Linked DNA regions of Ovis aries. The protein of the gene in region 1 purifies or fractionates together with the protein of each later gene. This does not show direct contact. Links are inferred from orthologs where the notes say so. Each region holds a gene or a part of one and is shown on either strand. Other genes may lie near its edges. The genes, in order: FBXL17 and KLHL9.

What was found.
Region 2: the proteins of FBXL17 (region 1) and KLHL9 purify together in Homo sapiens (co-immunoprecipitation; 3 studies listed by BioGRID and IntAct, with this or other methods). This does not show direct contact. The link is inferred for Ovis aries from reciprocal best matches to the Homo sapiens genes FBXL17 and KLHL9.

The regions. Positions count from the first base shown.
Region 1 is NC_056058.1:104,988,213-104,992,647, reverse strand, and holds the start of FBXL17 (F-box/LRR-repeat protein 17), read left to right. Parts: upstream 1-1,466; 5' UTR 1,467-1,784; coding exon 1,785-2,690; intron 2,691-2,804; exon of another isoform or gene 2,805-2,901; intron 2,902-3,056; exon of another isoform or gene 3,057-3,263; intron 3,264-4,435. UniProt on the Homo sapiens protein: Substrate-recognition component of the SCF(FBXL17) E3 ubiquitin ligase complex, a key component of a quality control pathway required to ensure functional dimerization of BTB domain-containing proteins (dimerization quality control, DQC).
Region 2 is NC_056055.1:89,892,234-89,896,796, reverse strand, and holds the start of KLHL9 (kelch-like protein 9), read left to right. Parts: upstream 1-1,521; 5' UTR 1,522-2,051; coding exon 2,052-3,905; 3' UTR 3,906-4,006; intron 4,007-4,563.

The DNA.
Region 1 (4,435 bases):
TAACTGGGTTGAGAAAGTGTTTATCTGTGTGTGTCTAAATAACCTGAAAAAGTGAAAAAGTTGGCTTAAAACTCAACTAAGAAAGAAAACTAAGATCATGGCATCTGGTCCCATCACTTTATGGCAAACAGATGGGGAAACAGCAGGAACAGTGACAGACTTTATTTTGGGGGGCTCCAAAATCACTGCAGATGGTGACTGTAGCCATGAAATTAAAAGACATTTGCTCCTTTGAAGAAAAGCTATGACCAACCTAGACAGCATATTAAAAAACAGAGCCATCACTTTGCCAACAAAGGTCCGTCTAGACAAAGCTATGGTTTTTCCAGTAGTCATGTATGAATGTGCGAGTTGGACCATAAAGAAAGCTGAGCACCGAAGAATTGATGCTTTTGAACTGTGGTGTTGAAGACTCTTGAGAGTCCCTTGGATTGCAAGGAGATCTAACGAGTCAATCCTAAAGGAAATCAGTCCTGAATATTCATCGGAAGGACTGGTGTTGAAGCTGAAAGTCTAATACTTTGGCCACCTGAGTGAAGAAGTGACTCACTGGAAAATAACCTGATGCTGGGAAAGACTGAAGGTGGGAGGAGAAGGGGACGACAGAGGATGAGATGGTTGGATGGCATCACCGACTCAATGGACATGGGTTTAGGTGAACTCGGGGAGCTGGTGATGGACAGGGAGGCCTGGTGTGCTGCGGTTTATGCGGTCGCAAAGAGTCGGACACGACTGAGCGACTGAATTGAAATTACCTGATAAGTGCGTTTATCCTGAAATGCACTTAGGGAAAGCCGGTCCGTCCCTAGCAACAGGTGTCCGCAGACAAGCGCAGAAACACGGCAGAGCCGGTCCACCCGTGAGTCCCTCGCGGGAGAACCATTCTCGCGGAGAGCACGCCGGGCACCCGGGCTGGCCTCGGGCGGGACCGGGTCTCCTCAGCGGCCTCGGCGTCCGGTCGGGCGGTGAGAGCGCCGGTTCCCGGCCAATGGCGGTTCCCGAACGTGCGCCTAGCGACGTCAGCGCGACTGTGCCCACGGACGTCACCCGACGAGCTCGGAGGCGGCTCCCCCCGGTCCCACGAAGGGGGCGTGGGCTCCGGGAGACCGCGGGCGACGGGGACAGGGGGCGGTGAGCCCGCACCCGTGACGGCGGGCCCGGCCGAGCGGCCCTCAGGGGGCGAGCGGCCACGCGCGCCGCCGAGGCCCCGCCCCCTTCCCGATCGGCCACACCCCCTTCCCGAGCGGGCCGCGCGCTCCCGAGCCGCCCCCCCGCCGCTGAGGCCCCGCTCCCTCCCCGATCCGGCCGCGCGCTCCCGCTTCGCCTCCCCGCACGCGCCTCCGCCGCGGCCCCGCCCCTTCCCGCTCGGGCCGCGCGCTCCCGCTCCGCCTCCCCGCGCGCGCCTCCGCCGCGGCCCCGCCCCCTTCCCGCTCGGGCCGCGCGCTCCCGGCGCGCCGAGCTGTGCCGCGGGCGCGCGCGCCGCCGCCGGCAGAGCCGCCGTTAAAGTGGTCTGAGGCGCGCCCCGCGCTTCCCCCGCCGCCGCCCTGACCAACTGAGGCGGCGGCCCAGGCTGCGAGCAGCCGCGCGGTCAGCAGGCTCGCCGGCCTCCGTCGGGTCCCAAGAGCTCGCGCCCCGCCGTGGTCTCCCGGCGTCCCGGGGCAGAGCATGTAGCCCCCCAGCGCCGCGTGTGTGCCCGTGTGTGTGTGTGCCCGCGTGTGCCCGCGGGCCCGAGGCCGACCCCCGCGCGGCCTGCCCTGACCCGGCCCCTGCGCGGGGCCTCCCCTATGGGCCTCCTGCTCTCGAAGGAGCCGCGCCGCCGCCCGCGCCAGAAGCGGCCCCGCTGCGGCAGCTGGTGGCGCCGCCGCCGCCGGCCTCTCCTCAGGTGGCCCCGCGGGGCCCCGGCCAAGGCGGCGGCGGCGCCCCGGGGCCGGGACTGCCTCTTCCGCGGGCCCTGCATGCTCTGCCTCGTCGTGCACGGCCCCGGCGCGCCCGCCCCCGCCGGCCCGGAGGAGGAGCCGCCGCTGTCGTCGCCGCGGCCGCTCGGGGCCTACGGCGCGGCCGCCTCCTCACAGCCCCCGGCGCGGCGCCGCGCGGGCCTGGCCGCTGAGGACGCCGCGCGCCGCCTTCTGCTCTCGGCCGCCGCCGCCGTCGCCGCGCCGCCCGCCCCCGGCCGCGGGGAGCTGGGGCCGGCCGCCGCCGCCGCCCGGGAGCGGCCGGCCCGGAGCCTCCTGTGGGCCCGCGCGGGGCCCGTGCGTCCGCCCGCGCCGCCCGCCGCCTCGCGGCTCTTCCGGGCGCCGCCGGCCGAGCCCCCTGCGCCCCCCGAGATGGTGTGCAAGCGGAAGGGGGCCGGGGTCCCCGCCTGCACCCCCTGTAAGCAGCCCCGCTGCGGCGGGGGCGCCTGCGGCGGAGGCGGCGGCGGCGGCGGGCCTGCGGGCGGCGGCCCCGAGCAGCACCCCCCGCCGCCGCTCCGCGCCCCGCGCTCCCCCGCCGCTCCGGGAGGGGCCCCCGCGGAGGCCGGCGGGGACGCGGTCCGAGCGGGGGGCGCCGCCCCCTCGGTCGCCCGGCAGCAGCAGCACGAGTGCGGCGACGCCGACTGTCCGGAGGGCCCCGATCCGCCGTGCGACTGCCACAGGGAGCCGCCCCCCGACGCCCCGGACATCAACCAGCTGCCGCCCTCCATCCTGCTTAAGGTGGGTCTGCGTGCCCCCCACCCCCCGCCGGGCCCGCTCGGGGGTTCTCTCTGCTGCACGCCCCGCGGGGGGGCCTCCCTGACACCCGGTTATTTCAGGTGCAGGGGCTTGGAGTCCGCTGAAGGTCCTTTTAATCGCTTGGGTCTGCTGCGCGTAATCCCGGTTCACCTAGGAGAGTCCCAAGCCCACTGTTGTAGAAACTGTAGGTTTTCTGTGAAAAAAAAAAAGAAAAAAAAAATTTTTTTTTTTTTAATCCCTTGAGCGGTTTGCACTTAACCGAGTAAAGACTTGTATATTAGTGTTGGAAAGTGTTCAGACAGTAATTTCAGATTTGATAACTGCTAGCTGATGTCAAAAAACAGTTACCTTTTATCTATCGAGCACTTGACCACGATGATCAGGCACAGTGCCAGAGCTTTATATACATAATATCTCACCGAATCCTTCAGTTGACGCCATGAAAGAAATATTGTTAACATCTTTACACAAGAAGAAACCGATGTATCAGCGCAAGTGCCTACAGTCGAAAGTCAGGCCGACGTGGTGTGTGTTCCTGTGGAGCTTACAGGCCAGCGGTGCTTCAAGGGGCTGAATGACTTGCCCAAGGTCACACACAGACAGATCTGCGGAGTTTAGGCCTGTCTGACTTGAAAACCCTTTTATTTATGCTATGTTCTATTATCTTAGGTAATGCAGACAGATTACCAGACGGTAAGGACAAGTGTATTTTTTGTTGGGGGGATACGTGTGTGGGGAAGAGGTAGATATCCCGTGGAAACCTGGTCCCACTTTCAGCTACCAAGTAAAATTTGCAGTTTTGTCAAGCAGCAGCAGCAGTGATGAATTTAAGTACGTGATACTTTGTAGTAAGTTAGTATTAAAAAGTTTCTTTTCCGTTCATTTTCTCTCCTCTCTCACCCCCACACTGCAGCTTTCTGGAGCTTATAAATATAAACCCCCTTTATCACTGTGGATGATATTTAAGACTAACTAGAAAAACCTAGATAAGAATTTGGCTAGTTTTATTGTTATTGAAGTAGCTGTCATCAATTATAATTTTTATTCTGAACAATATACTTTGATTGGACTTTTTGCATGTTTATAATCCTGTGTGCTTGGATTTGTTTTACTGTGATATTAATATTTTTGTAAATAATATAGCAAAGAACTGGGAAAGCTTAACTTTTCCACATGTCCAAGAGGATGAGATGGTTGGATGGCATCACCGACTCAATGGACTTGAGTCTGAGTGAACTCCGGTAGTTGGTGATGGACAGGGAGGCCTGGCGTGCTGTGGTTCATGGGGTCACAGAGTCAGACACGACTGAGCAACTGAACTGAAGTTGTTTACCTTTCAGTAGTGTATTTTTGAAGGAGTAATTACTGCCTCTGTATGTTCAGGCTGTGCATTTTAGGGCAGAGGGAATGTTCTTGAATCTTTTAACTTAGTGGACAACATGGACAAATGAAATATCCACAGATATTTGGCATAGAGGTTTGATTGCTGTCTTGTTATTTGGTAAGTAAGACTGTTTAAAAACAAAGTAAAAAGCAGATACTTCCCACTTTCTACCTAAACTGTCATTATTTCATGAGGTAGAGGACATTTTAATACAAAAACAAAAATAAAAGAAAGGAGGAAGGACATGATTTCATAATAAAGAGAGTTCCAATACAATCAGTTTATTTGCAACATTGTTCTTTTCCACATTTTTGCTAAGGACTGTCGAAAACTTGTTCTAAGG
Region 2 (4,563 bases), on another chromosome or scaffold:
ATATATCCAAATTTAAATTGACTAGTAATTTTTAAAATATAAGTTAATCAACTATATTTGAATTTTTTAAAATGTAAGTTTTAAAATAACCATTAAGGGAAAGATCAGTAGTGGGATAAATATACACTCAAAGTGTTGACTTTAAAAAAGTACTTAAAAAGAGTTGTGAGTTAAGTTTTATTGGGGGCAAAATGAGACTATTGCCCTGGAGATAGCATTTCACATACTCTGGGAAGCTGCTCCAAAGAGGTAGAGGGGTGGTTGGTATATATGTGATTTTAGTGAAGAGAGGGGTATATGCAATCAAGCATGTTTTTTTGCAGAAGGTTTTGCTAGTCACGAGGGAGCAGATATCACCATGAAGGAATTTAGTGCTTTTCTAGATATGAGGAGATGCAAAAATTGTGCTCCTAAAATCAGCTCCTGAAAATATCTATCTGAAGACCTGTTCTGCCAGTTTTTCCAGAGCACAAGAGTGCCTCCTTTCTGATCTCCACTCTGAACACCCATCAGGTGGTGTTGAAGGTCAGCAGCTACAACAGCAGGAGAGATTTATTCAATCCTTGTAGAGGTAGATGGCAAGTGCCAATGAAAAGTGCCAATATGTAGTTTTTCAAAACATCTCTGGTGACAATATTTTGCAAAAAACTTTGTATGTCTTCAAGCAGCATTCTAACATTAGGATTTATCCCAAAATGGGAAGTTTTGTGCTCGGAGTCTGTAACATTGGAGAACAACGAAGTATATATTCAGGAACAAATGACAATTGTCTATCCATTTAAAAACTTGTGAGTGGAAAACAAAAGCACGAAAAATTTACTGATGGAATTCTGCTGCATGGCAAAAATTCAGCCTATATTATTTACATAGCATGGTCATAATTTGGTATTTTAAGAGAGGCAAATAACCTGTTTTAAATGATTAAAATCTGAAAATATGTACCCAGAGTTATACTTGAACTGTCTATTAAATTGTGTGGGATAGGTTTTTTGTTGGTTTTTTTTTTGGTTGAGGAGTTTGAGGGATCTTGGTCTGCAGCCAGGGTTTGAACCCTGGCCACAGCAGTGAAAGTGCCGAGTCCTAACCACTGACCTGCCAGAACATTCCCAGTGTGGGATAAGAATTAATAAAGTTTGTTTTTTATAGAGGAAAACTAAAAGCATCTTTCCCCTAAGGAAGCCTTCTGCCAGGTTTCAGCTTCCAGAAAAGCTGCATTTCATTGTTATCCAAAAGGCAGAAGCCAAGAAATGTAAATCTCGAAGTATTCATTTAGAGGAACAGCTCAGCTGCAGTGAAAGAGTTATATTAAAAATAATATCCGGGCACCCATTCCTATTTAATAATACCACATACAAAGTATCCCGAAGACACCCCGCTGGCCCACCCAGCACAGCTCTGCGCGACCCAAACCCCGCCTGCTCGAGGCACGGCCCACATCCTCCCATCCCCCACACAAGCCCGCCTACTGGCTAGGTCGGGCGGCTGCGCAGCCGCAGTAGCTGCCACGGCCGCTCCTAGCCCGGGGGATCCTGGGACGAGGCCTTTCCGGAAGGACCGGCTCGGCGTTGGGAGCTCGGCCCGTGTTCCAGGCCCAGGCTCGTGTTCCAGGTCCTTGCTCCAGGACGGGCCGGTAGCCGCGGCGACGCTCAAAGGGCGGCGGAGGGCGCGGCGGGCCGCTCTCTGAGGTGCCGGCCCTCGCCGTCGAGCGAGACGCCGGGCCGCAGGACGTGGCGGCACCTCCCCCTTAGCCCGGAGCAGAACTGCGGGAAGAGCAGCGCAGGCCGGACCAGGTGAACCGGGTCACTTAACTGCCTCAGGTGATGAATCATCTACATAGTAGTCAGATTTGAGGTCCACAGCCCTCTGTGGGCCAGCTGCAGAACAATTTTCAATGTGGGACTATTGTGTTCTGAGGCGTGCTGCAGTGACAGTTTGCCCTTGATAAGGAAAGCGAGCTCTCTTGCTCTTGGGACATCCTCGTTTCCTTTAAAGCTTTCCGGTCGTAACCTCTTTGTCCGGCATACATCTTTGTGCAAGAGGAAGGCGTTCACATGAAAGTGTCTCTTGGTAACGGTGAAATGGGCGTCTCCGCCCATTTACAGCCTTGCAAGGCAGGAACCACACGTTTTTTTACCAGCAATACTCACAGTTCGGTGGTACTGCAAGGTTTTGATCAACTTAGAATAGAAGGATTGCTTTGTGATGTGACTCTGGTGCCAGGTGATGGAGATGAAATCTTCCCTGTTCATAGAGCTATGATGGCGTCCGCTAGTGATTACTTCAAGGCTATGTTCACAGGTGGAATGAAAGAACAGGATTTAATGTGCATTAAGCTTCACGGAGTGAACAAAGTTGGTCTGAAGAAAATTATTGATTTTATTTATACTGCAAAGCTTTCTCTTAATATGGACAATCTTCAGGACACTCTTGAAGCTGCCAGCTTTTTGCAAATCTTGCCTGTTTTAGACTTCTGTAAAGTGTTTCTTATTTCAGGAGTCTCTTTAGATAACTGTGTTGAAGTTGGACGAATTGCTAACACCTACAATCTTATAGAAGTAGATAAATATGTCAATAATTTCATTCTGAAGAATTTTCCTGCCTTACTGAGTACTGGAGAGTTTCTAAAACTCCCTTTTGAACGGCTTGCCTTTGTGCTTTCTAGCAATAGCCTTAAGCACTGTACTGAACTTGAGCTCTTTAAGGCTGCCTGTCGCTGGCTAAGGTTGGAAGATCCTCGGATGGATTATGCTGCAAAATTAATGAAGAATATTCGATTTCCACTGATGACACCACAGGATCTCATCAATTATGTGCAGACAGTAGATTTTATGAGAACAGACAATACGTGTGTGAATTTGCTTTTGGAAGCTAGCAATTACCAAATGATGCCATATATGCAGCCAGTGATGCAGTCAGATAGAACCGCCATTCGATCTGATTCGACACACTTGGTTACATTAGGAGGAGTTTTGAGGCAGCAGCTGGTTGTCAGTAAAGAATTACGGATGTATGATGAGAGGGCTCAAGAGTGGAGATCTTTAGCCCCCATGGATGCTCCTCGTTACCAGCATGGCATTGCTGTCATTGGAAACTTTCTTTATGTAGTTGGTGGTCAAAGTAATTATGATACAAAAGGAAAAACTGCTGTTGATACAGTTTTCAGATTTGATCCTCGATATAATAAATGGATGCAGGTTGCATCATTAAATGAAAAGCGCACATTTTTCCACTTGAGCGCCCTCAAAGGACATTTGTATGCTGTTGGTGGGCGAAGTGCAGCTGGTGAGCTGGCCACTGTAGAATGTTACAATCCAAGAATGAATGAGTGGAGCTATGTTGCGAAAATGAGTGAACCCCACTATGGCCATGCTGGAACAGTGTATGGAGGCTTAATGTATATTTCAGGAGGAATTACTCATGACACTTTCCAAAATGAGCTCATGTGTTTTGACCCTGATACAGACAAATGGACACAGAAGGCTCCAATGACAACAGTCAGAGGTCTGCATTGCATGTGTACAGTTGGAGACAAGCTCTATGTCATTGGTGGCAATCACTTCAGAGGAACAAGTGATTATGATGATGTTCTAAGCTGTGAATACTATTCGCCAACTCTTGACCAGTGGACACCAATTGCTGCCATGTTAAGAGGTCAAAGTGATGTTGGAGTTGCTGTCTTTGAAAATAAAATCTATGTCGTAGGTGGATATTCTTGGAATAATCGTTGTATGGTAGAAATTGTCCAGAAATATGACCCAGAAAAGGATGAGTGGCATAAAGTTTTTGACCTTCCAGAGTCACTTGGTGGCATTCGAGCTTGTACTCTCACAGTTTTTCCACCTGAAGAAAATCCTGGGTCACCTTCCAGAGAATCACCTCTTTCAGCACCTTCAGATCATTCTTAGGACCAAGGTGTAAAACCTTTGCAGTGCATCAAGGATGATCCCGTAATTCCCCTTCAGTTGTATCTTCTTACAATGATTGGTACAGTTATTAGATTAAAAAGGTAATTGATGTTATTTGTATTGTTTGGCTTAGTATGTTTATCAAATGGTTAACAACTGTATTCTGCAAATGTATGTGTTCAACATAGCTATTTTAACAAATGTAAAAAGCAGAAAAATTGTTAGATATCTTTTTGTGGTGTTGTGTAAGGCAGAGTGTAGGTGATTGAAGTAAATGTATAATTATGTTCATTATGCTTCAAAGTTGAAAGTTTTCATCTTTGACTACAAGACATCAAAGGGAGGATGCCTACTATAACCTAAAATAATAAACAAAAAAGGTCGTCAAGCCTTATTAGCTGCTTCCCTTTTTTCATGGTTTGTGACATAGCTGCTGACTCACCAAATTGTGTGGGTACATTCAGAATATGTGACAATTCTTCAGCAGACTGGAGGAATATTAACTCAAAAACTAGTATAACCCCAAGTCAGCGTTTCATATCTCTTTCTGGGGAGAGGAAGAGAGAAAATACATTACCACACACATACATATGTATATACATGCATATACATATATAATTTTTAAATTGATTGGCACTTCAGCTATAGTAAATTGTAA